Linked DNA regions of Lytechinus pictus. The protein of the gene in region 1 purifies or fractionates together with the protein of each later gene. This does not show direct contact. Links are inferred from orthologs where the notes say so. Each region holds a gene or a part of one and is shown in the gene's direction. Other genes may lie near its edges.

Region 1 (16,538 bases):
AAGGCCATACGTATTTCACTTACTAAATTATGCGAGCGCGAAGCGCGAGCTGAAAATTTCTGATAGAGTTTTCAGACCAGTAAAGGGAAAATTTTAAGGACTGTTTTCAGGAATTCATGAAGAGCAGACATATCTCACCAGTCCATTGATGCGAACGTAAGCACTAACTGGGAATATTTTACATTCAGACTTTAAAAAAGGGGCAGTTTCTTTTAAGTAGTCATGAGTGAGAAGCATGTCACTACATAAAACAATAACTCGAAGTGCAAGGAAATACATGTATATGGTGTATATTGACTTGAAAACGGAATTTTTTAGTACAACATGATTATATATTTCATCAAACAGAAATTACGAGCACCAGGAATGATGAACACAATGTCATAGGCCCTTAGCAAAATATGTTTCATAATTAGAGTTATGAAAAAAAAAAAAAAAAAATATTTATGTAATATAATATATTATAATATAATATATATATATATATATAACTTAATATAATAGAATATGCACTAGTTTCTTCTTCCTCTACTACGCCTCTCCTTTTTTTATCCTTCTTTTTCTACTTTCCCCCCTTCCTTTTTTTGGCCAGCCGATGGGGGGGGGGGGGGGGCACGTGCCCCCCATGCCCCCCCGTAGTTACGCCACTGTTGAGCACGTGTTTTACCTCACTTTCATACACTTTCTTTCCCTTCGTTTTTTTCAATCCGCGGCAGCTTTGTCGTGTTATTGACTTTTTTCTTGTTCCTTTTCTTCATATTCTGATTTTCAAATTCAACCTTTGTCTCTATATACCTTCATTTCGTATCTCTTTTTGTCGATTTCTCTCATTGTCCACCATTCTTGTCCATGCCACTGAGTCTCCTGCTAAAGACATGTTAAGGCCTATACTTTCTCGCATGTTCTAATTCTTTCTTTCTTTATTGTTGTCATTTTCCTTTGCTTTTTCACCTTTCCCATTCCTCCCACCCCGGCCTCTTTCCTCGTTTTCTTTTCTTCATTTTACCTTTTTCTCTTTTCGCCCTTTTCTCGGTGAAATCCGCCAGGGCCGGGGCAGCTCCCCCCCCCCCCCCCCCCCCGGCGCCTGTTACGCCAGGAAGACCAAATGAACAGCCGATAAGACCAATAGGGACTACCAGTAAGACCAATTGAGTTCACTCAGTTGGATACCAACCACTAAGCCAAAACATCAGTAACAGACTCCAGTATAATTAAGACCAGTTTAAAATCCCAGTTACTATAGGCCTATTCAATACCAATGACTGGAGCAGTATTATTTGTAACTAGAACAGTATTACCAGACCGATAAACCAATACTCCAATTTCCAGAGTTACTGGTCCAACTGGTCAAGTTGATTTTTTTTTCTTGTGGTTAATTTGATTTTCTATTTTTATCATTTGACAGATTATTGTCTTATCTCTTCATTTTGGGCTCGGTAAAATGTAGTTTAATGTGTCTATGGACAATCAAGTCTCGAAATGTGTGATTTAAAGAGAAACTTACCCGCCGTTTTTCTGGCTGTGTTTGTGTCGTCACATCTTTTTTTTGAAGGGGTGTCTGTGCTTGTGGGCTTGTCAGTCGTCTTCGTTTCTTTCGAAGAAATGGCGAAGCATAGCTGGTCACCTTCACCTTCCTCCCCAAGTAAACATTGATTCTACTAATTTTCTTTAATTTGGATTTATTTTCAATTACATTTGAATTACTTTCAGATAATTTCAAAATTATTTTGCAACATCTGTCGCAAATGATTTTTTTTTATATTTGATCGGGTGTCACTTTAATTCCTAATGATTCGACAGCGTCAGCAGTGGTGTAATCACGGTGATCCATTTTTGCATTCAAAGTTCTTCTTTTATTAGGATGATTAGTCAAATTACGGTCACAATTACAACACCAGTAGTCAGACATAATTACTAAAATGAATTAATGAATCAAATAAAATTACCACCAGCAATCAGCACACCTACATGGCAATATACTTTTTTTTAAAAGATGTTTTATTGTTTTTCTCTCAAATCAAATTTCATACAATGCAGTTAACAAAGTAACAATTGTAAATAATAATTCAAATAAATTTCTTAAACTAGTATACATTATGCACATCATGAAATAATATTCTAAGACTGCATCGTACCACTACCAGATGAGTTTAACAAACAAATATCAGAGAAAAAAATTATAAAAGTATATGCGTTGCACCTGCCCCCTCCTTGCCCCCCCCCCCCTTCCCTCCACAAACCCCCACACTTCACACCCTCAAACATTTTTCGTACACCCTTGCATATGATGCCGCGTTCCGTCTGAAATAAGAAAACACCATAATGAACGAACATAATCTCGTGAGCTCTGTCGCCTCTATACTCTTGTAAGGAAATGTTCCCATTTCCTTATATGGTTTGATAATTTACCCCTTGTTACTGCTAAAATTTTCTCTTCACGTTCATTTTCTAATATCTTCTCTCTAATTTCGTTGGGACTTGGTGGTCTTTTTAGTCCTGCTGTAAACAAAGATCAGATATTTTATTAAAAGAATAATGTGATTAATTATTTGTTCCTTCCCTATATTAGCATGCTTAACACCAATGTGTATATCCACCCACCTGGCATTTTTTATTTCATACATATTGAATAAGTTACCGCAATCTATCCATAAGTCTCTCGTCTTTTCACATGAGAAAAACAGATGCTCGTAAGTTTCTTCAGTATTCCCACAAAATGAACATTCACTATCTGAGAAAATTTTGAATAAATGTAAATATTTCTTCGTGTATATTAACTCATAAAGCATTTTAAATTGAAACTCTCTAAGCCTATACTGCTTAGAGTACATTTTCTGGGTCTTGAAAATATAGCACATATATCTTTTTCGGAGAAATTATATGTCTTATATTATCAAACGCATACGATTTTTCTAATTTAATACTTAAAAGTGCCTTGTATATTTTATTAGATGTCACGTTTGGTAAACTGTTAATCTTACCATTAAATATAAATTCTAGATTTAGACCAGTGTCTTCACAATTGTCTTTTTTCTTCAATAGGTGTTTCCATGTTGCTGGAATATTTTCAAAAACTTTATAAACTTTATCTATTTCATTTCCATCTAAACCCATTTTCAGAAAGTCTCTTTGCTTCCACCATATAAATAATTTTTTTTATTTTACTTAGAATCTATTTGTAATTAACATTTTCCTGAATTTCTACATCTAATGATAAAGTTATTCCTAATATTTTGATAGTTTCAACTAATTTACCAAATGGAACTTTAATATCTTTTGTAGAAAGAGGACCCAACGCTAATATAAATGTGTTTTCTTTATTCATTTTTAAGCCTGAAATCTTAGCAAAATCTCCAAATATTTTTCCGATTCTATCAATAGATTGGGAGTCCCTCACAAAAAGTGTCATATCATCCGCATAGAGCGCTTGTTTGACTTCTACATTACCAAAGCTGATTCCGTGGATGGATTTATCTTTACGAATGGTATTAGAAAGGACCTCGATACAAAGTATAAACAAATAAGGAGAGAGGGGATCCCCATGTCTCACACCTCTTTCAACACTAAAGTATCCTGTCGATATACCCCCATTAAATACGCAACTCAGGGCATTTTTGTATAATGTTTTGATCCAGCTGCAAAATGAGGACCCGAAGCCAAAAGAACGTAAAACGTTTTGCAAAAAGATGTGCGAGACCGAATCAAACGCTTTTTCAAAATCTATTGCCATTAAGAAACCAGGTGCATTATTTTGTTGTGTGTAGTAAATCATATCGTCAATCAATCTTTTTTTTTTTTTTTTTTTTTTTTTTTTTTTTTTTTTTAAACAAGTGCACACCTAGTTACCAATAATGCATATAGCATTTACATTTATTTGAAAGCAGGATAAAAGAGCATTGAAGATTAAATGCTTTGCTGACGGGCATAGGTGCCGCGGCCGGGGATCGTACCCCGGACTTTTTCATGTATAGCCAGGCGCCTTAGACCACTCGGCCACGGCACCTCCTAAATCTAATTGATCTAATACGATACGATACACTACACGAAGATAAACGATACTAGTTATAATCGCGATAAATCGAGACATGAAAAAGTTAATAACGATAATGACGTCATTCAAGATGGCAACTTGCAAGAAAAACCGTCAGGTCAGGTGAAAATGTCTTAGATGACAGATTTCTCAATCATCCAGAGGATTTTTTTCAATAACTCCGGCCCAAGGTATGCAATTACTTAAGTTATTTATATTACCCTGATAATGGAAACCATGAAAATGTCAATTTTGCCTAAAAAACAGTTTTAAATCGCGATCTATAAAACGCTAGTTCACTATACGTTGGCTGTAGGTAGGGGCCCCCCTCCTCTTCAGTCTATGTATGGTGAGTGGAGCCAACGCAGTTCAGCGGAACAACCAAAATACAGAGACTGAAGCTTTTGGTCTAGGTCATGGGCCAAAACCACTCACTCACACGTATTGCGAGGTTAGTATGCTATACTATACAAACCTCGCACCACGTATGGTTGGAACTACCCCTTATCAACCACCTAATTTTCTAAGCATCATATCTGCGAAAATATTTATCACTCATCAGTTTTACCTAGTTTTCGTCTCATTTGTGCAGAAAATTGAGCAGATCAGATTCCCATGTTTCGATCGGCAACTCCGATTCAATTCGCGTATATATCGGCGAACAACGAATACGACGGTTTTACATTTGCTCATTTGCACCCTTCTTTTGAAACCGACCACCTGCAATACACTAAGTTTACGGCCGATTCTTGTCGCGGTGGTGAAATATTTTTACTCTTTCAAATCAGTTCTATGATGTCAACATGCTAAATCATTGTCTCACTACTTCCATCCACTGCGAGCTCTGGCACATGATTCGACGATTGATGACGGATATTTGTTCTAAAGCCGTTTCCTATCGGAAACGGGGCGGGTTCGGGTCTAGTCATACAATTTTGATAAATTCTACTAAATTTTTACCCTTTTACCCTTTTCCCCTTCTTTTTCTCTTGTAAAAATCAATTCTTACCGTTCCTATGGACACTGCGCCTACTCTCCTGCGCGTATCGTTTGTAATGAGCAATAATTTTGATGCGCGCAAGGTGGTCGGTTTCAAAAGAGGTGGTCGATATGTAGTGGTCTCACCATACGTGTTTACAGTATGGACTTTAGAGTTGTCGGTTACCATCGCTTTATAACGCGAATAATGTTAGTCGAAACTCATTCCGCTACTCACCAGGACTTTTTCTGGTGAAAAGCGTTCCATTTTCAATTTTACAAATTTTATTAATGTAAAAATCATGTAAAAAAGAGCAAAATCGCTTACCTCGGCCTGGAAAGTTGCTCCGCATGTCTCTTCGACGGAAATAAAAGGAAGGTTGTTGGTGGCGCTAATAGTGGGCTCCACACTAACTCTTTTTTTCTACTGGTCCAACCTATTCATGTCGGACCAGTAGATACCCAGTTTTTCCATTTTTTACTGGTCCGAACCTAAAATCTACTGGTCCCAAAAAATAAAGAAAACATTAAAAAAAAGGCGTTGGTTTATTTTGCTTTCCTTTTTTGTTACCCCCCCCCCCAAAAAAAAAAAAATGAAGGACTGAAAGACAAAAAGAAAGCAAGACAAAAAGAAAGAAACAAAGGAAGAAAGAATAAAAGAAAGGAAGGAAGAAAAAAAGAAAAGGTAAAGAAAGGATAGATGTGAAGGAAGGAAAAAAAGAAAGAACTAATGAAAGAAAGAAGGAAAGGAAGGAAGGAAGGAAAGAAAGAACAAAAAATAGAAAGAAAAAAACAAAAGAAAAAAAAGGAAGGAAAGAAAGAAAGAAAGAAAGAAAGAAAGAAGGAAAGAAAGAAAAAAAGAAGGAAAGAAATGAAGTAAGCAAGAAAGAAAGAAAAACAAAAGACAGAAATTAATGAAAAAAGGAAAGAAGGAAGCAATAAAAAAGAAAGAGAGAGAGTAAAAGGAGAGATGGAAAGAAGGAATAAAGAAAGAAAGAATGAATAAAAGGAAGGAAGGAAGAAAAAGGTAAAGAAAGGATAGATGTGAAGGAAGGAAAAAAGGAAAGAACTAAAGAAGGAAAGGAAGGAAGGAAAGAAAGAACCAAAATAAGAAAGAAAGAACAAAAGAAAATAAATGAATAAAGAAATGAAGGAAAGAAAGAAAGAAGGAAAGAAATGAAGCAAGCAATATAGAAAAAGAACAAAAGACAGAAAGTAATGAAGGAAAGAAAGAAGGAAAGAAGCAATAAAAAAGAAAGGCTAAAAGGAGAGATGGAAAGAAGGAAGAAAGAAAGAAGAAAGGAAGAAAAAAAAAAAGGTAAAATGATAGATAGAAGGAAAAAAGAATGAAGGAAAGAAATAAAGAAGGAAGGAAGCAGTCAAGCAATATATAAAAGAAAGAAAATATAAAAGAATAGATGAAAGGAAGAAAAAAAGAGGCCAAGACAAAGAAAGGAAGGAATGAAGGAAAGAACGAAAGAAGAATGGAAAGGAAGCAAGCAGTAAAAAAAAAAAAAAAAAAAAAAGGTAAAAGGATAGTTGGAACGAAGGGGAAAAAAGAACAAAAAACAGTATAAAGAAAGGAAGGAATGAATGAAAGAAAGGGCTGAAAGAAGGAAGAAATAAAAAAGGGTAAAGAAAGGATGGATGGAGTGAAGAAAGAAACAAAGAAAGAAAGTGACAAAGAATGAAGGAAAGAAAGGGTAAAAAGAAGGAAGGAAAGGAAGAAAGAAAGAGATAAATATAGGATGGATGAACTCAAGAATTAAAGAAAGAAAGAAATAAAAAATGAAAGAAGAGAGGGAAGAAACAAAGAAAGATTGAAAAGAAAGAAGGAAAGAAAGATAGAAAGAAAACAGAGGAAGAAAGCTAAAACTATCATTATAAATAAATTATCAGTTTCTTTTTGGCTCAATTAAGATGTATAGCTACGAAAGAACCCAAGTGTATCAACACACACACAAAAGCATTTGTGGGGCTATCATGTATTCAGATGATATCACTCGAAACCCGATCTCTTTGAACTAAAACAGAAGTGAAAATTTCTCCTTTTACTGCTTACAAATGACAGAGTTACCCCAATTTTTAGGAAATATGGACATTACAAGAGCTTTTCAGTAGTCATGTTAGTGTGAAATGTGAATTTTGACAGTTCTGTGAGAGATTTTTGCCAGAGGTTAGCCAAGCTTCGTTCGTGCAGCCAGTATAGTAGAAAATTTACCATGTGGCTGTGTGGCTGGCTAGCCATATGTACACTGTATGTTACCCTAGTAAAAATTGCATACAATTCATTCTGTGTGTATTCTGTGTGTGAATGACAGAAATTAACTGGAGGAAGATGATTTGCAATTTGAGTCATGGAATATTTTTAATGTTTATGTTGGACTAGTGAATTTGACCATTTCTGGAAAAGTTACTGGCCCATCAATGGTTTTTGTTACTGTTTATGTCGGACCCATAAATCTTGCTATTTTAGGAATAATTACTGGCCCGACAATGATATTTTTTTACTGGTCATGTCGGACCAGTAAATCTTGCTATTTCTGAAAATCTACTGGCCCGACAGTGATTTTTACCGGTCTGGGACCGTCGGACCGGGGCTATTCTCCACCTAATGAATATTTATGATGACCTGCATGTTACTGTTTTCACATAATATTGCTGAACATTATTTGTTGTCTTAATTCTGAAAACTATAATAAAGGGAGAAGATAGTTTCTTCAAATGGAGGTTCAACAATTTCAAAGCAAAATACAGATACCTCTAGTAACTTCACTTACTCTAATTCAATTGACTGTCCTAAGATTAGAAAATTAAAGAATGAACAATATAGCCTTTTTCACTTTGCAAAAATGAAGAAAGATTATCCTTTCCCATTTTTTTTTCTACAGAATCATATTGCTCATTTACCTCTTAGGTCCGAGGACGGACCTATAATTTGTATGGAAACCACATCATTTTGAAAGAACAAGCTTGTTGTATCCAAGATGGCTATTTTCTTTGATCATCGAGTTCAGTCAGGCTCAACTAGCCATGTAGATATATCATGGCATAATGAACAACCTTTACTTGCTATTGCAATGAGAGGCCAGCAAGGCGGAGGTGTCATCAACATTTTCAATGAAGAGGTAAGGAAAAGGTTTTTTTTCTCTCGAGAAAGATTTACATTTTTCATGACCCATCTTCATGTTATTTATTTTCTATCTACGTAAAGTGATTGCTATTCATCTTAAAGGAACAATATTTTTAATGAAAGAAAATACTGTGAATTCAAGTTCTGTGTTGATATTTTTGGTGTGGTTTAATCTTTATAGTGGATGATGTAAATGAAAACATTTCAATTTCTTTCCCTTGTCGATATCAAAATAAAATAATCGCTTATGAAACGGAATATATCCGTGTGTGCGACAAATGAGTTCATAAACCTTCAAAAATCACTCATGAATAATAATTCTATGAATTATCTTTATCACTGCCTGTCATTGTTTATTTGCCCTTCCTCTGAATAAAGGAAGATTGATTTATGTGTATTGTTAATTAGGGTCAAGCCCTTCCAGCAGCTAATCTTCAACGTTCTTGCTACTCCACCTCATTGGCCTGGCATCCTACCCATCCTTCAGTGGCTGTAGGATGGGAGAGTGGAGAGATTCTAATCTGGAATGAGCAAGATCAGCAGCTTCAGGAAGCCACCAAACTTCACAAGGCTCAGGTCTGCTTGCTTCAATGGAGTGTCAAGGGTCAACGTTTATTATCAGGAGATAAGGTCAGACTTGGCAAGTGTTTTATGAAGAGTTTTGTTTCTTCATTCACTGACATGATATAAGCTACAGAAATAATTGCATCTGATTGGTTGAGAACAAATTAGTCAGTAAAAAATAATTTGCAAAGCTCTTCATGAACCCCCCTCCTGGATTCTTATGGATCTATCAGTTTCTTGTTAAAATAAACCCTGTATTAATCTGAGCTTTTATATCTCTCTGATATGATATCAAATGCACATGCATGAGTTTGGAGTTCTATGCATAAAGCTGCAACTTGATGCATGACATGTATGTGCACAAGGGATGTATCTTTATAGGTATGTAGTGATTCATCACTTTATTTAACATTCAAATTGTTCAAAACAAAGGAATGAGTACAAACGTGGGAGGAATTACGACCAGGACATATCTGGGTACATAGAATAGCCTAAACAGGACATACATAAATACTAATAACAAAATGGCATAACAATACAAATTGTCTTTTAACTTCTATGGAACTACGACAAATTTTCTTGGTCAACAAAACTTATTCCTTGCTTGACTCCACAAGAAGATTTAACATTCTGTTATAAGCTACTGAATGTATCTAATTTGACAAAAAAAATCTATATCATAGCATTCTTGCCCTTGTTATTGATAACCGGGTCTTTTACACTTTGCTTATATATCATATCACTTAATGTAGGTCTGTTATGCAATAATCAGGAATATCGAAGGAGATTACTAATTCTCGCTTTCTTGATTAACATTGATTATAGGAAGGAACATTGATCATGTGGAAGAGTGACGGAAAAGGTCATCTGACTAGTAATCCCATCAGTCAATTACCATCTCAACAGACGCCAACTCAATGTTTATTTCCCTATGGTGGACCAAAACAGGATGAGTAAGAGCAACTATCCTTTTTACCTTCGCCAAATGAAGTTTGAAAGGGGTGCAATCACCCCAGATCCTGGTTTCTGTCATTCAAGTGTTATTCCTGACTAGAAATGTTCAGTATACAGTGCGTCCCACAAAAAACGAAACCGAGGTTTACGAATGATTTATCATAACTTAATCACAAATACAGTAGACAAATGACCTATCATTGTAAAGCTTAGAATCTCTTCTCTCAGCTGGTATAACATACAAGATTTCTCATCCTCGCATGAGTGAATAAAAACAATTTGAAGAAAGGATAGCAAAAAGTCATTTGGCGGGAGATATCAAAATTTCAAAAAGAAAATCACATGCCTAAGAAGTTCAATATTTGCTCTTTAATTTGATAGCTAAATCGCAGAAAATGGTCAAGAAATAACAAAGCTATGCTTCTTCAAAACAATGCTTGTATTTCCATAATTTCATGAAACATACATGTTTTCACCGGTTTCTCACCTAAGCTATCGCACGGTTAACAAAAGACTTTATGCATGGCTGATCGTCAACAAAACGGAGTGTCGAGTAAGTCTGAAAGCTATCCAGTAAAACCTCTTCATTTTTTGAAATTATTGGAATTCAAGCCTTATTTCAAATAAACAGAACTTTGTTATTTCTTGACCGTTTTCTGTAACTGAGGTATCAAATTTAAGAGCAGATATTGAAATTTTTAAAAATGTGAGTTTCTTTTTGAAACTCAGATACAGCCCGCCAAGTGACTTTTTGGTTTCCTTTCTTCAAATTGATTTTGCTCACTCATGCATGAATGATAAATAATCTAAGTTATTTCAAATGAAAGAGGAGACACTCAGCTTTACATTTGTCTATTGTATTTGTGATTAAGTTATGGAAAATCATTGATAAATCTTGGTTTCGTTTTTTCTGGGATGTACTCTATATTTAATGAGCTGTGTGCAGATTAAATTAAGGCATTGTTGCCCTTACTATTCATCAGGTTATTGGCAGGTTTGTCCATTGCAAATGTTGTGGATCAACTTACTTTCTCACTTTTTAACATATTTCTAATACAAAATTTTGCATAAACATTGGTCTTAAGGCACATTTTTGCATGTGTTGATGATTTTTATATTTAGGGCAAAAATTTGTTAAAAATTTTGAGGTCATGGCCCTGGAAAGCGGGGATGCTGGGGGTGCTATAGCACGCCCAAGATTTTTCATGGGGTGCTGCATATGTAATAACCATAGGCAGCACCCCCCTAGGAATCAGGTTGACAAGCCAACAACAAAAAAAAAACCTCTCAAAATGACATGTTTGGGAGCAATTACCTTTATTTAATTTTTTTTTTCTTGTCATTTTTTTCCAGATGACAATCCCCTTCATAATACCCCCAGCATCTCTTATTTAAAACTCATTCCAGGGCCCTGCTTGTTTTTCCAAGTTTCATACTACTTCCTCACTTTTTTACCAGTGCTCATGAAATTTGGCACACTTGTCTTGAAGTAAAGAGGGGCAACACATTTTTTCTCTATTTATTGGAAACTGTTTTGCCATGGTAACGGCATTGGATGGGGGGGGGGGTAAGGGGTGGTAATTACTGTCAGTGATATTTCTTGTCTTTAATTGTTTGTATTGTTTTGGTATCCATTAGCATGCAAATGTTGCTATTTATGCATTCATTCAATTATTGATTTAACAATCATACACTAATTAGTGTTTACTGTCACATTTGGCTTTAATACATCTATAGAATAAATCAGTAGTACAATATTGAAAGAAGATATGAAAAGAACAATCATTGCTATCCTCTCAGAATTTAACTGGGAGTTGAGGATAGGTGATGCAGTCATATCTACATGGCTTTTATAATGTGTATGGATTCAGGTCAAAACATAAAGGATTGCTTCCAGAAAATTTACAAATTAAACAATTGACAAACAATTCTATATTCTTAGAAATAAGATATTTTTATGTCACTTTATTCGGGTGTCTCTTTCAATAATCTCTCGAAAAAAACTCTTCCAATTCACTATCACTCTCATCTTTGCTGTCTTACTTTGTCAATGTAGATTTCCACTCAATTTCTTTCCTTTTTTTGTCAATTTATGGTGTAAAGTGATCGGAGTGCCCCATGGAGCTCAAATTTGTACAAAGGTTCTTCCAGTCTGTTAGCGGATGGCAATGCTTGCTTTGTAGGAGGAGAGGAAGGTAAGTTGCATTTCTTCCCCAATAGTACCTGTGGGTGCTTCGTGGTCTAGTGGTTCTGACTCTTGCCTTTGAACAGAGGGTCGTGGGTTCAAATCGTAGCCATGGCGTGTTTTCCTTTAGCAAGAAATTTATCCACACTGTGCTGCCATCGACCCAGGTGAGGTGAATGGGTACCTGGCAGGAGTAATTCCTTGCATGCACTGAGCGGCGGTGATGGTAGCTTGAGCTAGAGCCAGGGTAATGATAGCAGCGCTTTGTATCCTCTGGCAAAAAGGGCTTTATAAATCCAGCTATTATTATTACCTGCATGTACTAGAAATGAATTTGGTCAACATTATATCCAAGAGATGTTTGACAAACAATTTTTGGATTAATCCCATATAATATGTTCATCAGTTTGCATTGCATACATGTTAATTATTCTGAAGTATTGAGTCAGTTTGTTCTCTTTTGGCAATTCCAGTTTAGAAATGCATTACAAACAACATTTCACAATCACTTTGGGACAGTTTCTTTCATATTCAAATTCACAACCAAAATTAAATGTTTTAATGTTATACTTGTATGATATAACATCTCTGTGTATATCCAGAGTACTATGAATAGCCTAGCTTAAAATCTAACAAACCTATACAGCATTTAGTGTATTCAGAGATTGATTCCTATCGGATATTTCCCTCTGGCGGAACTTTAATAAAGCCGTTTGTAAGTTATACAAAAATTTACGAATGACTGGTGACCCTTTCTTGTGGAAGATGATAACCATCAAGTTTTCATTGGTGTTGATTTACCTCCTACAAATTGACTCTTAAAGGGATGGTCCGTGCTGAAAGTATTTATAGCTTGATAAATAGAGTAGAATTCACTGAGCAAAATGCTGAAAATTTCATCAAAATTGGATAACAAATATTAAAGTTATTGAATTTTAAAGTTTAGCAATATTTCGTGAAAACAGTTGTCATGAATATTCATTAGGTGGGCTGATGATGTCACATCCCCACTTGTTCTTTTGTATTTTATTATATGAAATTAGGTTTATTCAATTTTTTTCCTCCAAGAACTAGAAAAATTGGATTGATAACTGATTTAGTGCATTAGATATTTATTGCTGCAACTTATTTCATTATAAGGGAGACATATTATTGAATTTTAAAGTTTATGCAATATTTCGTGAAAACAGTTGTCATGAATATTCATTAGGTGGGCTGATGATGTCACATCCCCACTTGTTCTTTTGTATTTTATTATATGAAATTAGGTTTATTCAATTTTTTTCCTCCAAGAACTAGAAAAATTGGATTGATAACTGATTTAGTGCATTAGATATTTATTGCTGCAACTTATTTCATTATAAGGGAGACATATTATTGAATTTTAAAGTTTATGCAATATTTCGTGAAAACAGTTGTCATGAATATTCATTAGATGGGCTGATGATGTCACATCCCCACTTGTTCTTTTGTATTTTATGACGTAATGACGTTGAGAATTACGTCACAATGAGAGAGCCCGCCAGTGAGCGCACGAGGTCTTGACTTCAATTCGTTAGTAGCGCCATTTTAGCGAGGTCATGGAATAATTTTAGTCTTGAGACTGACTACTTTTTTCGACGTTTTTCCCCAAAGGATTTTGTGTTTTTGGACATTTTTCATCAACTTTTTCGTGGTCGTGATCTTCGTTCACCCTTTCAAGGATTTTCTTGCGTGTTTGTGGTTTTTTAAGGCATTATGTCGGATCGTAAAAACGATGACCCTAGTATCAGTGCCAAAGGCACGATCTCGAGGGCAAAGCCCACCACCTCCGCCTCCCCGCTCGCGGGGAAGGCGGATGAACGTTCCGTCGATGAGGCCAGCAAAGCTGGAAGCGACGTGACACTTTTGACTATGCCACCCAAGGCTAAAAGCCATAAATCGAGTGGGAAGTCCAAGCCCTCAGCTCAGCCAAAGGTAAAATCTACAGCCCCGAAATTGTCGGACGATATGGACAGACGTTTCCAAGCGCTAGAGAAAATGGTGGCCAATATTGCTGAGACTCAGCGCCACATGTTTTCGCCTCCCGCTGCGGGGCAGCAGCCGGCACCGATCGGCAAGCCGGCCAAACCCGCACCCGCTGGGTCGGGGTTGCCGAGGGCAAGGGACGTAGAGCCTGGCGAGATTTTCACCGCGGGTGAGTCTACCGGTAATCCGGATTACGAAGATTGCGTTATGCCTATGGATTACATAGAGCATGAAGTGTGTGGTTCTGAGAACTTATCTAGTTATGACTATGGGAATGAACATGATGAAATTGAACTTGCAGACTCCTGGCCACAGGCACAGAGTCAGACTAGATCTAGTCAGAAGCAGCCCCAACCAATCGCAGTTCCTTCTCTTGCGGCAAAATTTGCTACGCCAACTGACATTGGGGAGCCCATAGATCAGGACATAGCACAGTCAGCCAACTTTCTTGTCGGCAACCAATTAGAGGGCAAAACTCTTACCGATGTGGTTGCGAAGTATCCATTACCAGATAACTGCCAGTCCATCGTTACTCCACGCGTTAACCCAGCTATATGGGAAATTTTAACACCGCAAACAAAGTCGAGGGATCTTAAGATGCAAAGGGTACAAAAATCCCTGTCCAAAGGACTGAATGCTTTCCTTCGAACCCTCTCATCCCAGTCTATGACTGAAACGCAGCAAGATGCCATGGCACTCATCTGTAATGCACAATTTGAGATGAATTGTCTCCGAAAGGAGTTCATCAAGCCTAGTCTGCACCGCAGATATAACCACCTCTGTAAGCCTGACACTCCAGTGACAAGATTTCTGTTAGGAGATGACTTGAGTAAACAAGTCAAGGACTTGAGAGATCAGCAACAAGCAGTAGCAGGCCTCGGGAATAAAGGGCTAGGTTTTATTCGCACCTCACAACATGTACCCCACTACCACCCCTACCAGAGAAATTCAACTGCCGCTCAACACAAGTTTGCTGCAGCGGGGTGGGCTCGTTCTAAAGGCAAAGCCAGTAGCACTGCTACCCAACCCTACGAACCGCACAGCGGGAACTCTGACAGTCATTTTTTAGGCCATGCCCCCCGAGGTCGGGGGAGAGGAAAACCTCACCAAGCACAGGGCTGGCCCCATCAGACAAAGTCACATGCTCAACAAGCCGGACCGGGTCAGAGCAACATGCTGAGCCAAAGGAGGAAATAGCTCACAAAGCAGAAAACAAAGAGGTAAGTGCCTCTCAAAATTATGTACCCACTAATTGTGAGGAAAAGAAAGCAGTCGGAGGCCGACTGAAAGAGCATTACCAAGAATGGTGTAAATTAACATCTGACCCTTTTATTTTGAACGCAGTTCAGGGTTATGAGATAGAGTTTGCAGCAATCCCCTCACAGCAACATCCACCTGTCAAATATAGACGTGGCTGTGAGGATTTTAATAAAATAAACAATGAAATTCAGGTCTTACGAGATAAAGGGGTCATTGAAGCCACCTTTCACGAAGAGGGAGAATTTATCTCCAACATCTTCTCCAGACCAAAAAAGAGTGGTGGTATTCGTATCATTCTAGATCTCTCAGACCTTAACAAATTTCTCAACTACCATCATTTTAAAATGGATAACGTTCACACTGCTGCTCATCTCTTAACCCCTAACTGTATGCTCACCTCAGTCGACCTCCGGGATGCCTATTACTCAGTGCCAATCCACCCCAAGCACAGAAAATTCTTGAAATTCATTTGGAACAAATCAGTTTGGCAGTTCAAGGTTCTGCCCAACGGTCTCAGCACTGCACCAAGACTTTTCACAAAAATTTTGAAGCCTGTTTTCGCACATCTGAGAAAAGCAGGGCATGTTGTTGTAGGATACCTGGATGATACTTTAATCATGGGAGATAGTCTGGAAAAGTCAGAAAGGGCCACGAGTGCCACTACTGATCTGCTAACTAAATTGGGGTTTTTGGTTCATCCAGACAAATCAGTCTTAACTCCCACAACAAAATTGCAATTCCTAGGGTTTGAACTTGACACCATAAAAATGGAAATTCGACTCCCCATCACGAAAGTCCAGGATATTTTTCAAACATGTCTTGATCTTCTCAATTCCAATGAACCTACAATTAGAAGAGTTGCCAGGGTAATAGGTAAACTCGTAGCCACATTTCCTGCTGCCCAGTTTGGACCCCTACACTATAGAGCTCTGGAAATGGATAAGGTTAGGGCACTGAGGTTCAACAAAGGTCACTTTGATAGAAAGATGGTCTTATCTCATGAGGCCAAAGAGGATCTCAAATGGTGGCTTTCCAATATTGAGTCGGTGTTTGCCCCCATTGGAAGGGAAAGTCCCTCCCTTGAACTGCGAACTGATGCAAGTGGATTGGGGTGGGGAGCAACTGACCTCACTCATTCTACCGGTGGTAGATGGAGTAATGATGAAATTCGAATGGCAAATTCTAGTGGTATAAACTACCTTGAGACGCTGGCAGCTGGGTTAGGCCTGAAAGCCCTCTGCTCTCATTTGCATGACACTCATATCTTACTTCGCCTAGATAACACCACAGCAGTTGCCTACCTCAATAATATGGGGGGAACCAAATCCAGGGACTGCAATAGAGCAGCTCAAGAAATATGGAGCTGGTGCATTATGCACAATATTTGGGTTACTGCATCCCACCTACCTGGGAAACTAAATGTGGAA
Region 2 (16,869 bases), on another chromosome or scaffold:
GGAAGCAACCACACCACTGACCTCTACAGAGCTGTATAAAAATGCTTCTCACCACAGATACCTGTTTCCGGTGATGCTTCTATTTCGGATCTCCGAGATCCAGCGATAGTAGTCTCTTTCTCCCCTTTATTATTTTATACACAAGAATAATTGTTGTAACGCCATCAGCTTAGTTTATTCTATAATGAACTGTATCTTGTCGTATGGTGAAAGGAAATATGATGCCTTTTTTTTGGGGGGGGGGTTATTGCTTCTTCTCTCGATCCCTCTCTTTTATTGAGTACTATCATTGTAAGGGTTAATTATTAAAGGAGAATGAAACTCTTGGAGCAAGTTAGCTTTTGTGAAAGCAGAAAAATCAAAGAATAAGATCAACAAAACTTTGAGTAAAATAGGACTAGCAATAAAAGAGTTATGAGCATTTGAATATCGAGATCACTAATGCTATGGAGATCCTCCCATTGGCAATGCGACCAAGATCTGTGATGTCACACACGTACAACTCTCCCATTTGGACACTGAAAATATACCCCAAAACATCTCTTTTTGCTTATTCTAATCATATGACAAACGATTCATCAATGGTATAATGTTGTGAAACCTCTGTACTTGTCATCTCATAAAGAGAACACCTCACCTTGTGATAGACTCTATAAAAGTGAGAATATAAGTGAAATAAGTACTAGAGTAATGAGGGAGTTGTACGTGTGTGATATCACAGATCTTGGTCGCATTGCCGATGGGAGGATCTACATGGCACTGGTGATCTCAATATTTAAATGCTCATAACTTTCTTATTATTCATTCAATCTTCCTCAAACTTTCAACAATATGTTTCTTTGATTTTTCTCTTTGATATGGATTCAGCTGGTTTCAAGGGTTTCATTCTCCTTTAATATTATTATTTTGGTTTTCTATTATTTTTCATATTGTTGTGGAATATTCATTTTCATCATCATATCACTTTTGTAAGCCCACATTTTGTACTGTCCTGAAATTAATAAGGGTAAAGGGTGAAATGTGAAAACAATGAAAGGGGCAAGAAACTCAAGACAAAGTGATGAAACAGAACATAATTACGTTCCAATATTTTTTAATGAGTTTCTTTTATTTATCCAGGATGGGGAGCACATCAGGCTCGTGCCCACCCCCTCGAAAGCAATAGAACAGATTTATTTTGCATCCATTTTGTTTGATAATTTATATAAATTGTTAATTTCATTTGATTGTAATCCTTTATGTTTGGATTTGAAATCAATTAAATTAACTTGAAACTTTCCAGCCCTCCCCTTGAAAATTTTGATCTGCCCCTAAATAGGCCTTTGTGGTAAGAGATTTTTTATTTTATTTATTTTTTAATGAAAATCCTTTAGGTTTGGATTTTAAATCAATGAAAACAAACTTGAAACTTCCTACTGTATAGCGAGGAGCTGTTATCATAATTGTGAAATTATTCGTTACATAAATCTCCTTCACGGGGGGGGGGGGAGCTTGTTATTTTTTTCTGTAAAAGAAACCACCCCCTCCCCCTTTGGAAAATCCTGGATTCTCCCCTGATTAGACCCACAGTAAAGTTTGTTATTCCAAACTTCTGTTACATTAATAATTCGGAAATTAATGCCTAACTTTGTTAAAAGTATTTCTATCGTCAGGTTCATTAATCAGAAAAGAATAAGGGGCTTCTTCATCAAGAGTCCCATAACAGAAAATTAACAAAATCGAAACAACTGAATTTCTCCTTTATTTTTTTATTTCATACAAAAATGTCTTATTTCATTTCAGTTTCACAACTACTAGTATCACTTTTGACTATGTATCAATATGAAACAAAATTGCAAATTTGTCTTGATTGAGGCTATCAAGACTTCCTTACCAGAATGCATTACGAGCAAAGTTTCGTCGAAACCTCAACGGTCAGTGGTCCAAACGGGTTGATGAGCCTCTATGGTTTCGTGAGATCTTTTTTCTTTTTCGATTTGTCACTGTCGAACACCATAGACGTAATGGAGGCAGTTGGATGAGGTTCATGTTGAGAAATCGGTGAGTTTTTATTCATTTTTTATATCATATTTATTAATTTCAAGTCATATCCGTCAAAATAACAGTTTACATCAACGGATCAGTTCAAGTATGAACTGATTCGCGATGCTTTGGGCAACGGATGGGGGGAAAATGAGCAATGTATATTTTAACAATAGAGAGGTATACAGCCGAGAACGAGGTTATATTATAACCTCGTTCGTAGCCGTAGGATGAGTGCCCGTTCGTACAGCCAACGTATAAGTGAACTAACGTTATATAGGTCGCGATTTAAAACTGTTTTTAAGCGAAATTTACAGTTTCATGGTTTCCATTATCAGGGAAATATAAATCACTTTAAGTAATTGCGTACCTTGGACCGGAGTTATTGATAAAAATCCTCTGATAATCCTCTGATAATTGTCCGGGGGGGGGGTAATCGTCCAGGGGTAGTTGCCCTTGAATCAAAGAAATCATATGCCAATATGTCAAATCAATCTGAGTACTTTAAGATTTTAAAAATAAAAAGCTTGTACAATTACCCATAAGCTATGTATTATAAATGTGCCATGCCCAAAACAGAGAATAATAAGATTTCGTAAGCCCTGTTTTTGTATCACAAAGATGACAATTGTTATTTTGTATGACCTTTAAAAATAAGAGTAGTGCCGTCAATAAAAAAAATTATAAAACAAATAGGGCAAGCAAATATTTTCATCACTTGCCCAACAGGGCAAGTGACGAAACTTTTTTTTGTAGAGGCCTGACTTATATAATTTCCTTATTGTTCAGAATTTTTTGACAGGAACTTCTGCAACAACACATCTTCTAAATAAAACTTTCAGAATGATAAAACATTGAATACGTACAGAAAGATCTCAGTATTGCAGTATTTGATAAATGTATTGATTAGTAATTATCAATTTGCAAATTAATTAGTTATCTATTCAAATCTCACTGCTGCAAAAAAAAATCCTGTTTTGGTATATTTAAGTTTGCCTAAATAAAGGATAAATGACATCCCAATTATCTTACAACAAAATACTGAAAACAAGCTAAAATTGTGTAATGTGTATATTTATAATCATCAAAGGATGTAATAACTAATAATATAAATATAAAACAAGTAGACTCTAGATCTCAAAAGCAAATAATAACTCGATCAATGCGATGCACAAACTGCTAGCATAATCCCTCTGAGCCGGTGCACCCATGCCAGGGCTCCCGGCGACACTGCACTCATGATGGTCGCGTAGCACGCAACTCTCGCAGCAGTTTGCTTTTTCTGACAATCAATTTTGAGGAAGTAAAAAATAAATGATGGGATGTTTAGATTCGATTTATATTCACCACACACCAAGAAAAATATATGAACAAGCTGTTAAAATAGGTTTAAAAACTGTCAAAACTTACCTTCAGGGCCGGTCACGATGGTAAAGACAACATTAGACTTTCACATGAGCCAAATCCAACTTCTATGCGTTCGATCTTCAAAATTTGACAACGAGGCAAAGGGGATTTTTCTCAGCTACGTCATCAGTGAAAATAAGCCAAATTGGTGAGAAGCCGCCAAATCTACACCCATTTAAAGCCACCCCTTACAGAGCAACCCAAACTCGTTCTGAAACCGCTGCCGGTGCCGCGGTATTGAGATCACATCGCGCGATATTCACATACCTACTTTGTATATGGGTCATTCCATGGGGTTGGGGCAAAAATTGTGACATCAGGGTCAAAAAATAGAAATGTAATAAATGAAAAGTTTTTTTTCTTATATGTTTCATGGGACAATTCTTCAACTAAATCCACTTACAGGCATTTCATACCACCCTGCATATTTGAGTAAATTGCGAAACAAGATTTGACAAAATACCACCGTTACATGGACATCATTTATCATCCTTACTTAGACTATACTCTCCCACTGTCAAAATAAAAGGGTTGATCTCAATTCCTCTCAATAAATATTTTGCTAACAATATTTTTAGTCACTTTATTCCACATTTTCCAACATGGCATATATATTTTGAAAGATTTAGCATCAATAAATGGAACTTGATGCTCTGTGTGTATACCAGTGCCATGTTCTGTGTCGTTCTTTTTTCTCACCAGTCAAGAAAATTCAATTTATGATGGCATGTAAAACTAAATAGTTGACAGAAGTCATGCCTCAACAGAATGGAATATTCTTTTTGGAAAAACTCAACTACTCTTTCTGGCCTAACCTTCTATTTTTGGTGTTACCACCGTTACATGGACATCATGTCTCTGTAACAGAGGTATAATTTGAAGCATTGTAAGTTAAGGTCCATTAATGGTCATCACATACCAAATTACACTTTCTGCCTTAAATTATTTGCACAAGATCAATTGATTATATTAGAAAAAAACCATTTTGCATGTCAAATTCTTTGCAAATAAAAGAAATTTAAATTAGAGTTTAAACAAAGAAAAATGTACAAAATTATTGACAAATTATGTGTCGTTCTTTTTTCTCACCGGTCAAGAAAATTCAATTTATGATGGCATGTAGAACTAAATAGTTGAGAGAAGTCATGCCTCAACAGAATGGAATATTCTCTTTGGAAAAACTCAACTACTCTCTCTGGCCTAACCTTCTATTTTTGTTTGGTGTTACCACCGTTACATGGACATCATGTCTCTGTAACAGAGGTATAATTTGAAGCATTGTAAGTTAAGATCCATTAATGGTCATTACATACCAAATTACCCTTTCTGCCTTAGAATATTTGCACAAGTTCAATTGATTATACTAGAAGAAAAACATTTTGCATGTCAAATTCTTTGCAAGTAAAAGCACTTTAAATTAGAGTTTAAACAAGGAAAAATATACAAAATTATTGACATTATATTTAAAATCATACTAATCCTCAAGGTTCCACTTCCGTCTGTCTCTGGAAACATTTATGTTTCTGTCTAAAGGGGAAAAAACGAAACAGTGCTATCTTACGATCTCCAAATCTTTTATTACTTTGAAATATCTCCTTCAAGATATTACTTTCAAATGTAGATACCTCTGTTACACGGACATCATGTCCTTGTAATGGTCATATTGAATAGCATTACTTGAATATTTTGACATATTTTTCTAGTATCAACACACTAAATGCAAGTTAACTCATCTTACTCAAGTGTAGAAATACAACATCTACAAGCAAGCTTCTGTAATTCATATCAATGAACAGGTAAAATGTTTTTTTATTCATACACAATTATAAAATTTTTTGATACCTTTGATACAATATTCAGGTGAAAAATATGTAGGGAAAAGGTACTAGTTTAGTTCTTCTAAGCTATGGTTTTTCAAGACAAAACAAGACAAAGTTCGCATGGAAGACATGGACAACGCATTTATACCTTACACATATAAACTTGTTCAATTTGTTAACTCTAATTTGTTTTACCTCAGTTACATGGACATCATGTCCTCAAAATGGTAGTGTAGAAGTGACATTAATTAAAATATAATCATGTCATCACTGGAACTTACATACATTAGATAAAACATTAAGTTCCAACATGTGAAAAGGACAATTGTAAAGTACTTAGTGGACAAATTTAATTTAAGAAACTCACCACCTTTATATCTTCTGTTTTTTTAACAGAGTTGTAAGCGAGAAAGTAAAATGTACTAAGCTATTCTAATGATCAAAAATAAAACTGCAAGAACTCTTTGGTAAACTTCTTACTGGCAAATGCAAAAAAATGTATTACACTGTACACTAAACCTGACTATTAAAATTAACATGCAATATTTCTCTCTGCATTCAGGTTACAAGTTTATGAACTTCAAGAAGACTGGTGACCCAATAAGAAATTTCAGTTTGGAAGAGGATTCTGTCAATGTCACAAAGTGGATGGAGGTAGAATTGTGCCTCGCCATCAGGCCAGGAGTACAGGTCACCAGATTGACACTTCATGTACTGAAGATATACATTTTCACCTTGAACAGAGGCTACCTGTAGTTGAGAAAAATAGTATTTGGAAGTTTGACTATATTTTTTAAGCAATAAGCAAATATTTTTTATATCATATCAAATCATTTACTTATTTATGTCTTGACATTTTCTCATTAAAGGGGGTGGATTACTAGGGACAATGAATCTGATCTGTTCTTGCAAAATACACAGGAACCTTCACTTTGTATTTTTTCATAGCAAATAGAATTCATCATTTCATAGTTCATAAATTAAATATAAAGTTACGTTTTATAGAAGGTTTTTGTATTTGTGTTGTTGTGTTCTACTTTGTTTTCACAATACAATTACTTGCCCATTACCTTTTCATAAATTATCTGTACTTCAATTTCATTTCTCAATGGATTAATTTAATCTAATTTTATTCTGCATTCTAATCAAGGGTGGTTATCTAGACAATTCCATTTAGTTTTTTATGACCATCCTATTTAATTTTCATTGCTGAAGTTTAATTGTTCAAGCAATTACATAATATATGTATGTTTTATTGGAATTAAATAAATTAATGGAATTCAAATCTGCAATTTACCTTCTGATACAGCAAATAAACTCTTGTGAAACAAACTTGATTGTGTCACATTTTCTTTTGTTCACTTGTACATGTTTTAAAAATCTCATTATATTGCAATAAAAAAAAATCACATTGAAAACAATCACACAGGCTTTTGCTTTCTGATAAAACGAATCCCCCCCCCCCCTCTCCTTACAATTGAATATATAGAAATCAAAATACAAAATATTGAAAAAATATTGAGAGAAAAAAAGAATGTGCTGAAAAGTATAACATTCAACAAGATGAAAAGTTTTGGGAAGGTTAGGCCTACAGCCAAGAATTACTAGTAATTGGATTATGGCCATGCTTCATCATACACAAAGCACATGCACTATGTGTAGGGGGTAGTAACAGAAACATTATTTTGCCCCCCCCCCTTCTTTCGGATTGGGATCAGCTGACAAGCAAAAAAAAAAAAAAAAAAATGGGCGGGGGGGGGGGGGCCTGCCTCCCCCGTGGCGCTGCCACTGGTTCTAAACTCTCATTTTTTGGGGGAAATTCAAATTTGATCATCAGGTCTTTGATACCCATATTACGTAGAATCAGTAGGAGCCAATTTCAACAAGGCGAGATTTTGTACCAAATCTGAGATGTCAGCATGATCATCGGTGATAGAGCAGTTTTGAGTATCCATTGGCCTATTGAAATAACATATTTCGGTGTTCAAAAAAATCAACTAAATTGCGATTGAATCATGTCAGCTAACATTCAAAACATGTTTGCACGGAATCACAGTAATAAAAACATTATTTCTTTGGGGCCGTTTAGCAAATCTGGAACAAACACGGCGATGTCTCAATCACATATTTCACTTACACGAAAAGATACATGTGGGACTGTAGTAAAAGATTATGGAAAATTAGCGAGATTTTTCAAACTTAAAAACACTTTCTGCACGATAATATAGTTTCACATTTTTAAGATAAGGTTTAACTGATTTAAAAATACGAGTATCGGGATAAATCTCCGTACTTACGTCGCTTTGAAAGGGAAAACATCGTGGAGATCCAATCCACCGTTACACGGACATTGCGGGAAGATTCCCAATTGCAATGCTGCAAAACACCCGATATCATAGCCGTTCATGTGCACGTGGATTTCGGCTAACATCCCGTCCGTCTGATACATACAACGACGGTCTCTTCTCCGGTCTCTCCTTTTTACATACGCGATGAAATGTGATCCACCGTTACAAATTTGACCCGGACATCGCCCAAAACATCGGCGACCCTCGATTAATTAACATGACATTAACATTGGTTTTCAAAGCTAATCTTTTGATGAAAAGTTGCTTACTGCCTGCCCTTTATTTCTGACACATAACTTTGGAAAGAATGATTTCTGACTTTTAGTTATTTACCACTTTACCGCCGTTACAGAAAAAAATAAAGGCGGACATCGCATGTAACGGTGGTATGCGATGTTGTAGGAATTAATAATGATATGAAGCCTCTTTTCATTTGCTATCCCATTACTGTTTTGTTATTAAACAAATGTTGCTTTATCAATCATGGCCATTTGAATTTGACTTAGTTTATCTTTTAATTAGATATCTTCAACTGAAAATGACCATTTTGGATGTCACACTTGGTACCCCAAAAAAGAGTCTGGACATCATCATTTAAAGTCTCATCATCAAAAATACTTGAGGTTCAACATTTTTATTTCTGCATCAAGTAATTGCTTACATAACTGCCTTCCAACAAAACCACATTGCAACATCCAAACGCCAAACACATTCTCAGGATAAAGCCAACAATTCATAGGGAACACAAAAAAGTGCTGTTGCCCCAACCCCGTGGAATGACCCATATGACTAAGTTATGTCTATGAGATGAAAGTATCCACAAATCCTTTCAAATATGTGAAAAACTTTTCTCCTGAAATTGCTGCATTTTTAAGTAAGAATGTCATGAATTACGCACTTTCGGAACGGTGACACAATGATGGGTAAATTTTGAGTCACCGATTCGAAACGTCCAATACATTTACTACACAGACATATCGCGCATGCGCACACACACGCACCGATCGTACACAAAAGTGCATTGACTCAGCTGCGTTGTTGAGACCTTGGGTTGAGATATACGTTGAGACGCCACCCCCTCTTATTTTGATAACAATTGTCACCCCCACTTTCAAAATGAAATGATCGTGAGCATTTTTTTATAATCTATATTTTGATAGCAAATATTGGTAACTTGAGCGGGCAGCTATGGAAACATTGATTGCTTAGTGTGGGCGTCTTAAATCTTCGCCCGAGAAAAATGGCAGCTAAAATTTGCACCGTATGGACCAAGTTTGCAAGTTGTATTTATTTATTTCACATCTTTATACAGGGTAACTAATTCAGCTATACACGATAAAAACATTGACAGTCTGATTTTGACTGCGCTAAACTCCTTTTTCTTTTGCTGGATCTTTTAACCAAATGTTGCAGCATTTCAGGGAATTACTGAGGATTAATATCAGATGCCACAAGACACTTTTCAACATTGCAAATGATTTCTAGAACCATTTTGGTCAGGCAGTGACAGGTGAGTGGCGCAACAGTAAAAAAATTGCACATGGCAACTCACTGCGCATGGACGTTAGGCTTACTCTCCATGAAGCCTGGGATGGGATGCCATAGGCCCACACACACCGAGTATTTGGAGACAACAATGTTGCTCCAAAATACTTGATTTCTTTAACTTACTAATTACAAACTTATGTAAAAATGTAACCTTTTTACACGAAAAATAATATAACAATTAAGAAAAATCATGTAAGAAGATGAGCAGATACTCACAGATGTTATTGTCGCCATCTTGCCGTCTTTGTTATCGTAGCCTAGCTAAAAGAGAGGGCGACAATATCATGAGCAGTGCCAATTTAAATAAAAAAAAGATACTTCCATTGGCCGATAAATATCATGAATCGTAAAATACTTGCATTGGCCAATAAATATGATATTTATTGCCGATGCAAGTATTTTACGATTCAAGATATGATGATATTTATCGGCCGATGCAAGTATTTTTTAAAAATTTAAATGAAAAAAAAAGGACAAAAAACAGTGACCTACTTCGGCTGTCGCGCAACTCCCACTTCCCTAGTTTATCTGAACTTAATACATAAACATATGTCCATTGAGTCCCTGTACAGATCGAGTTAGAACTTCGGTCTGTGTAATTGGTGAGTGGAGCCAACGGAGTTCAGCGGAACAACCAATATAACAGAGACCGAAGCTTTTGGTCTAGATCTACTTAGACCGTACTAATGTTATATCTCAAACTGACTCGAGGATGAGGGGTTCGATCGAGTCCCGCTCATCATGCGGAAAGAGTACATCTATCCAACGACGACGAAAGTTCAATGTCCATGCCAACCTATATAAGAATCATTATTAAACATCAAATCCCCCACTTAAAGGGGAATAATGCATTGAGTCTATGGGGTAGAGTTCCCTTTCACTGTGAGCAGGATGGATGGCTAGCCATCTTGTATTTTTTGTATGACACGAGGATAAACCAACAAAGTTTTTTTTAAATGTCAGTACTGCAATTTTCCAAACAGACTAATTTAGCTGTCTACACTTCACTTGAATGAAGACATTGCTACTGATAGTGTTAGCAAGTTCAATAACACCAAACATGTCATGAACTGCCTGATTTAGTTGGCTACAGTGCTGGCATTGTTGCTCAACCTGACTCATTGAGGTCAAGAGTCCGGAGACGGCAAGAAATCTTTATTGAAGCTAAAATATTGTAGTTTCTGATGATAGATGTACAGACATTCAGGTGAAAGATTGTTTAGGAAGGTTGGGTTGGGCAAAATTTGGGTAAGAAACTTTAAATTCAATTGCTAGAGAAACCACCTACATTTGGGCAGGTTACGATTGTCTTTGTTCAAATTTCATGAAGTTCTTCTTCCTCAGGGTGGACCTGTGTCTTTCACACTTGAAGATTAATACAGGCGAATACAGGTTCTCTTTTGTCTAAATAAATATAATGTTTTAGTGTCATGTACATGTAGGTGTCACTATTTATGTAAAATTGAATACTCAATTTGGCAAATATATAAAATATTAGAATCTGTTGAGGTAATCATGGCTTCACTTCATAACCTACTTACCTAGCCTTTAACCTTTTTGAGACAAAATTAGATCTTTAGAAATTATTCATCGGCATATTTTCCTTTTATCAAACAGTATTCATGATCTTGCATTCAAGCCTGATGGAACCCAACTTATTGTTGCTGCTGGTAATAGAGTACTGGTAAGCCATGATATTATTATGTCTGTATTCCAACTCAGGAAGCCATTACCTGTGTGTGGAATGTCTTATTCCCGCAAGTGAAATATTATATTTCATTTCTTTGATGTATGCATTCAAAGAGCTCATCAACTGCTGCTACAGCAAAACCTTGCATTAAGTGTGAGTGCTGTATGTTTTCTGGTCAGTTAAATTTCGACACTTGAGATGAAAGATGCAAATTAAATAATTTTTCCTTCAATAATTCATAAATTCTTTAGATTTAAGTTGGAAAATATTATGAGAAAAAAATTTATTCACAATGCTCTATGATATTTGATGCATACTAGAATTTGAGAAATCCAACTGCAAATTAAAAGTTGTATATATCTCAAGTTCTTATCTAATCCCCAATCTTATTAGATTGTAACTCAAGTCAGTTGATCTTGTTTGCTTCTCTTCCTTTTTATTATTTATCTCTTGTTTTTCCTTCTTCATCTTCCTGTCTTGTTATTTTTCTTCAATTTCTTGTTATTCCTCTGTATTTCTCTTCCCTGTAAACCATTTTAAATAAAGATATGAATTCATAGTATTGGAAGAGATTTTGAAGTTGTTTGATAGTATATCATCATAATGGCCTTTGAAGATAAATTGCCTTTAAGCAGGGTTGGGCTCAATTACATTCAAAATACATTCCTAATTACATTACAGAGATGATCCAGCTACTTACCAGCTTCTAATTAACATTATATTAACCTGTTAAAGTCAGCCCAATGAAAAATTATTGTCAAGTTGATTATAATCTGGTCATTAGCTGGCTTAAGCAGGTTATTGTAATGCTAATTAGAAGATGGTTAGTAGCTAGATCATCTCTGGAATGTAATTAGGAATGTATTTGGAATGTAATTGGGCCCAACCCTGCCTTAAGTAGATATTCACATTGTTTGTTTTTATCTTCATAATCAAATAGTCAACTTGATGTGTTTGAAACTTGCGAGAAATTTGAAAAATCACATTTAAACTTTTTTATTTCTTTTCTTCCTAAGTTCCTTTACTGGAACATTAGTGGGAGCAGAACTCAACAATTCATACCAAATGCTTGTATTTTTATTTCAAGATAATTAGCTCGATCAAGTACGATTATTTTTTCATCGTGCATTTGTTTATTTCAGTCTAAGATCTACTCTGTTTTAAGTTGAATTTACTTACACATGGTCTGTATCACACTTTTCAGCTTTTCAATAAGATTAAAATATTAGTAGTATTACCAAGGTTCTTGAATATCAACAAAACTCATCATACAATGTGTTTTATGTCATAGGTTTATGACACTAATGATGGCACACTTATGCAGCCTTTGAAGGGTCATAAAGATACTGTCTATTGTGTGGCATACGCCAAGGATGGTAAAAGATTTGCTTCGGGATCAGCGGACAAGACAGTCATCATCTGGACATCAAAACTAGAAGGAATATTGAAATATACGTAAGTCATGTGATACAAGAGACAATTACTTTAATTATACTTTATCCTGCAACTTACTTGATTACCAGCCTGTAGAGAAGTCATCAGTGTTATTCTCAATGCCCCCGAATAAATGCAGTGGTGTATACTGTACAGCAATGATAAGGTTCATATGTTATCTTTTTATAGGGCACCGATGGTCTTGGTTTACATCTAAAAGAAGGCAATATATTTAAAATTGATTTAACTGGTGTTGATGATTGATGGTCATGAAGAGGAAATTAATGTGAAGGATGAAAAGAATATAGATGTTCAGTAATAATTGAAGCAAAAGAACTACTGAATTTTCAGAGCATTTATTAGAATTCATTAATTTGAAATTAAAAAATGGTGCTGAGTAAAGACATGCTCACATTTGTTTGTTTTTTACTTGCACTTATCAAGAATGAACAGAAGGCGATTTCAAACAAATCACAACAGAATAAGGGATGTTTCTAATCGTTATTTTTTACATTAAAAAAAATTGTTTGTATTGTTTTATTACAGTCACAATGATGCCATTCAATGTCTTGGGTTCAATCCAATCACACATCAGCTGGCTAGTTGTGCTTTCAGTGATTTTGGTTAGTATCTGCATTAGTATTATTTCTTGTTTATTCCTTAGATTTTAGTATGTCCTAAATTTCATATATTCAATTCGATTCAATCTATTCTTGATAATAATTAAAACATCATCTAATGTACATTCGTATATGGAAATTTCATTACAAGAAAAGGAGGGCAACAAATAGTTTACACTTGAAAATTAGAAGCCTCCAAAAATACAGTAAGTATTGTATGTACACATTAGATGAAGCGACCTGTTGAATATTTTCACTTCCCCTTTTCCAAGATATCTAAATAAAATTGAACATAATGCAATTATGGTACCCTTAAAATTCTCTTGAAGATAATCATTTAATAATTGAAGGCAAATTTCTTTGTAAAAATATTAAGATACCTGTTGTGAGACATACCTAATATGTGTTTAAAATCATTTGTTTTATGAGGAAACCTCTTTTGATTACTTTAATCTAAGTTTAATAGACTGTCAAAGATACAGTTCCTGTCAACTGTGTCTATTGAATATAAATACAATGTATTATTATTATTATTATTATTGAAAAGGGTTACAGTATTCTTAGTTTAGGGAGAAACAGAAAAGGGTAATTTCAGTGCATTTGTTCCTATTTTGTACAAATTTGTCTGACATGATATATAAGAAATTGAGGAACATTTCTGTTTTTAATTCTCTTTAAAATTTATACCTATGTCTTGCATTTCGGAGTTGGTAATGTTAGATATGAAAAAGTTTTTTTTTTCTTTTCCCGGGGGGTCCTAAATGATTTTCATGTAGAGAAAAAGGAGATGGAGTGGAAGGGTGGATAAAATGATATTATGGAGCAAGCAGGCTCAGTTAATTCAACAGGTCACTACTTCATGAATTCTAGGATACATCTATTGCTATAATATTTGAAAATAAAAAATATTGAGAAAATGTTTAAGTAACAAAAAATGCTGTTAAAATCTAATTTCCATTTAAGTAAGTTAAAAGGAAAGGCGACAAATGTATTTAATACTGAATGAAATTATCATGTATACATGTATGGTGGAAAATTTTCATCAGAATATATGTTGACCTCTATTTTTTTTCTTTCAGGATTATGGTCCATGGAGCAAAAATCTGTTTCCAAACACAAAGTGACAAGTCGTATTACATGTTGTTCTTGGACTAACGATGGTCAGTACCTAGCTTTAGGACTGTATAATGGATGTATCACTATCAGGACTAAGGTAAATACTCATAAGGAGACAGCCGATTGGATGATATTATATGACACCTAGGTAGATCCTTGTCATTTGATTGGTTGGTCGATATCGATCATTCAGCCCATTCTACAATGACGTTATCAACCATGCAAGTTTAGATCCATTCATCGTGCAATTTTGGATCCATATGATTTTGCGCACCCAGACTACAATGCAGGCACCACGCGATAATCAACAGACCAAGCTCGCACTGCATTAGCATATTTTGCATCGAAATTCACAAATTTCATATGAAATAGAATCTATTTTTAGGTGTCATATAAACCAAATAATGAATGTTCTTTTCATTTGTGCAATGGACAGAATACTTCATTCGGTGAAAGATGAAATGATCCATTCCATTCTCGGCTACGCCTCGTCGAATGGATCATTTCATCTTTCACCTCATGAAGTATTCTGTCCATTGCACTCATAAACATTCATTATTTGTATATTATCTCGAGTCATATTTCAGTATTTTCTGAATCACATGTAAAAAAAACAGTACGATTTCTCTGTTATGATTTTAAGATTATTTTCGAATAAACCATTGTTATGATATGGCAAAAAATAACAAGTTAGATTAATTCTAAATTTGATTCCTTTCTTTATTTACAGGAAATAGATCATACATTAAACAAAATAAAAAATTATCTTACATATCTTGAAGAGTCAGTTCTGAGTATTTCCAAATTATGTCCTGTATTAAATCCGTATAATATCCAAATTGGCTGGCAACGATTCCTATGTTCTTATTATGCAATGAACTTCCTTAGAGAAAAAGAAAAACTAAATGGATGAACGTACATGTGATTTCGCTTACAATTCTTAAATATAATTTGGCTCAGTATCGTTTTATATATTTCTTTGTAGGAAATGAAAACGAAATGTAATTGAATAATCAAATGACTGGAACATTTTTTTCAAATCTTTATTTGCCATTGAAGGTAGGGAGAAATGATTACACTACAGAACAGGATTCATGGGATTTGGGATGTGTATGGGTGTAACATCTGTGTAAACAAAGTAGGTGAGATGGTTTTTATTTGTTATTATTATTATCATTTTTTTTTCTGGTTCAATGTGATAAAATATGATTTTATGAATCATGCTTATTTTTATAGAATGGTGAAGAGAAGCTCAAAATTGAGAGACCTAATGGTGGTCTTAGTCCTATATGGAGCTTACAGTGGAATCCTTCTAAGTAAGTTATCTTTATTTCTACTTCTTATTGTTACAATCAGCTCTATATTATAGCAGCTATATGTTGAAAGTTAACCCCTTTTTTGTGTGTGTGTATTGTCAAACATGTAGTGAGGTACTTGCACTTTGGATAGGATAGCAAGATATTCATTTTCTTTTTATTATTTCAGAAAATATCTCGCAACCAGCCAGGTTTATGCATTGAAATGATTACTCATTGATCAGATTTAACTAGGAGAATGACTGAATGCAAATGCATTATGTGCATACCATGTAAATTAGAATAGTAATGGTTTCAGAAAAATCTATTGTCATCTTTGAAGTTTAAGAATTTGAAAAGTAGATCACTCTAGAAAGAATAAACAAGACACTAAATATTCATTAGATCTTTTAGAAGGCAGATAAATATAATTCAGTCTAAGTTTGATGTCATGGGAAATTGATAAGTTTGATGAATTAGTTCCGCTATTAATCTAATCTTCTTACTGATATTTTGGACAGATCATTATTTTTCTTTGGGTGAGTCTGGATATTTGAAGTAAAACTTTGATATTGTGGTTGTCAATAATTTTTGTTTTTTGTTTGATTGATTTTGAAGGATTTGTTTCATTGGTAGTTCTGGCTAGACTAATTTTACAAGCCTTTAATAATGATTGTGTGCAGTATCTTGGCCTGATGATGGACACTGTTATTCTCTGGGGAAAAACATAAATTCTAGAATTTTATCTGTAAAAGGAAAGTAGAATAAAATGGTTGTGGAATTGAAAGAGATCTTGTTTGATGAGAATGTGAGAGTATGATGTGACCTTTCAGTTTGATCTGTATCTTTTTAATGTAACTTCCACTGATATGAATTCCAAAGATGTGAAAATTATTTGTCTGTACTTAACCATAAATAATTTAATCTGATGAAACTATTACTTCAACAGTTGGATTTTAAAGTACAGTCCAGTTTTGGAATGTATTCATGAATAGTTCATGGAAAATTTATTTGATTGTAATAATTTCTTTATTTTGATTGAATAGTAAGAGTGGAAAGCTTTTCACATTGTTGCTCACCGGAGCATAACCTTGTTCGTCAAGTCCATAATTAAACAAAAAGATTATCTACTAAATATTAAATAAAGATGATTGAACTGAAGTCCTGTCATTTCAGGGTTTTGTAGATATAGCTAAATTATTCTTGTTGAATTGATTTATGGCAATCTAATTTTACACTTTCTTAATGAATACTTGTTTTACAGAGATGAATCTGTTGATACCCTTGCCGTCCTTGATTGGGGTCAGAAGTTATCTTTCTACAATCTCAGTGGAAAACAGGTATGATGATAGCTTACAGATTAACATCTACTTGAATTAAGATTGATCAATTACTATAAGTGCAATAGATTATAAGCAATTAGTGATTCATTGATGTAAACACAATTCATCAGCAATTTACTTGACTATTCTTTCTATATTTAGTTTAATTCAACTCTTCATTTTTGTCTCACCTGCATTATGCATAGCAGAGTGAGACTGTAGGCGCCGCTTTTCCGATGGCGGCGGC

Evidence for each region.
Region 2: the proteins of intraflagellar transport protein 140 homolog (region 1) and intraflagellar transport protein 122 homolog purify together in Homo sapiens (affinity purification with mass spectrometry; 4 studies listed by BioGRID and IntAct, counting the BioPlex papers as one, with this or other methods). This does not show direct contact. The link is inferred for Lytechinus pictus from reciprocal best matches to the Homo sapiens genes IFT140 and IFT122.

Annotation. Positions count from the first base shown.
Region 1 is NC_087254.1:17,768,811-17,785,348, forward strand, and holds the start of intraflagellar transport protein 140 homolog, read left to right. Parts: upstream 1-7,901; 5' UTR 7,902-7,995; coding exon 7,996-8,136; intron 8,137-8,549; coding exon 8,550-8,771; intron 8,772-9,530; coding exon 9,531-9,658; intron 9,659-11,762; coding exon 11,763-11,854; intron 11,855-16,538. UniProt on the Homo sapiens protein: Component of the IFT complex A (IFT-A), a complex required for retrograde ciliary transport and entry into cilia of G protein-coupled receptors (GPCRs).
Region 2 is NC_087247.1:78,864,498-78,881,366, reverse strand, and holds the start of intraflagellar transport protein 122 homolog, read left to right. Parts: upstream 1-9,009; 5' UTR 9,010-9,107; intron 9,108-10,762; 5' UTR 10,763-10,829; intron 10,830-12,126; 5' UTR 12,127-12,153; coding exon 12,154-12,290; intron 12,291-12,815; coding exon 12,816-12,892; intron 12,893-13,968; coding exon 13,969-14,102; intron 14,103-15,241; coding exon 15,242-15,321; intron 15,322-16,564; coding exon 16,565-16,640; intron 16,641-16,869. UniProt on the Homo sapiens protein: As a component of the IFT complex A (IFT-A), a complex required for retrograde ciliary transport and entry into cilia of G protein-coupled receptors (GPCRs), it is required in ciliogenesis and ciliary protein trafficking.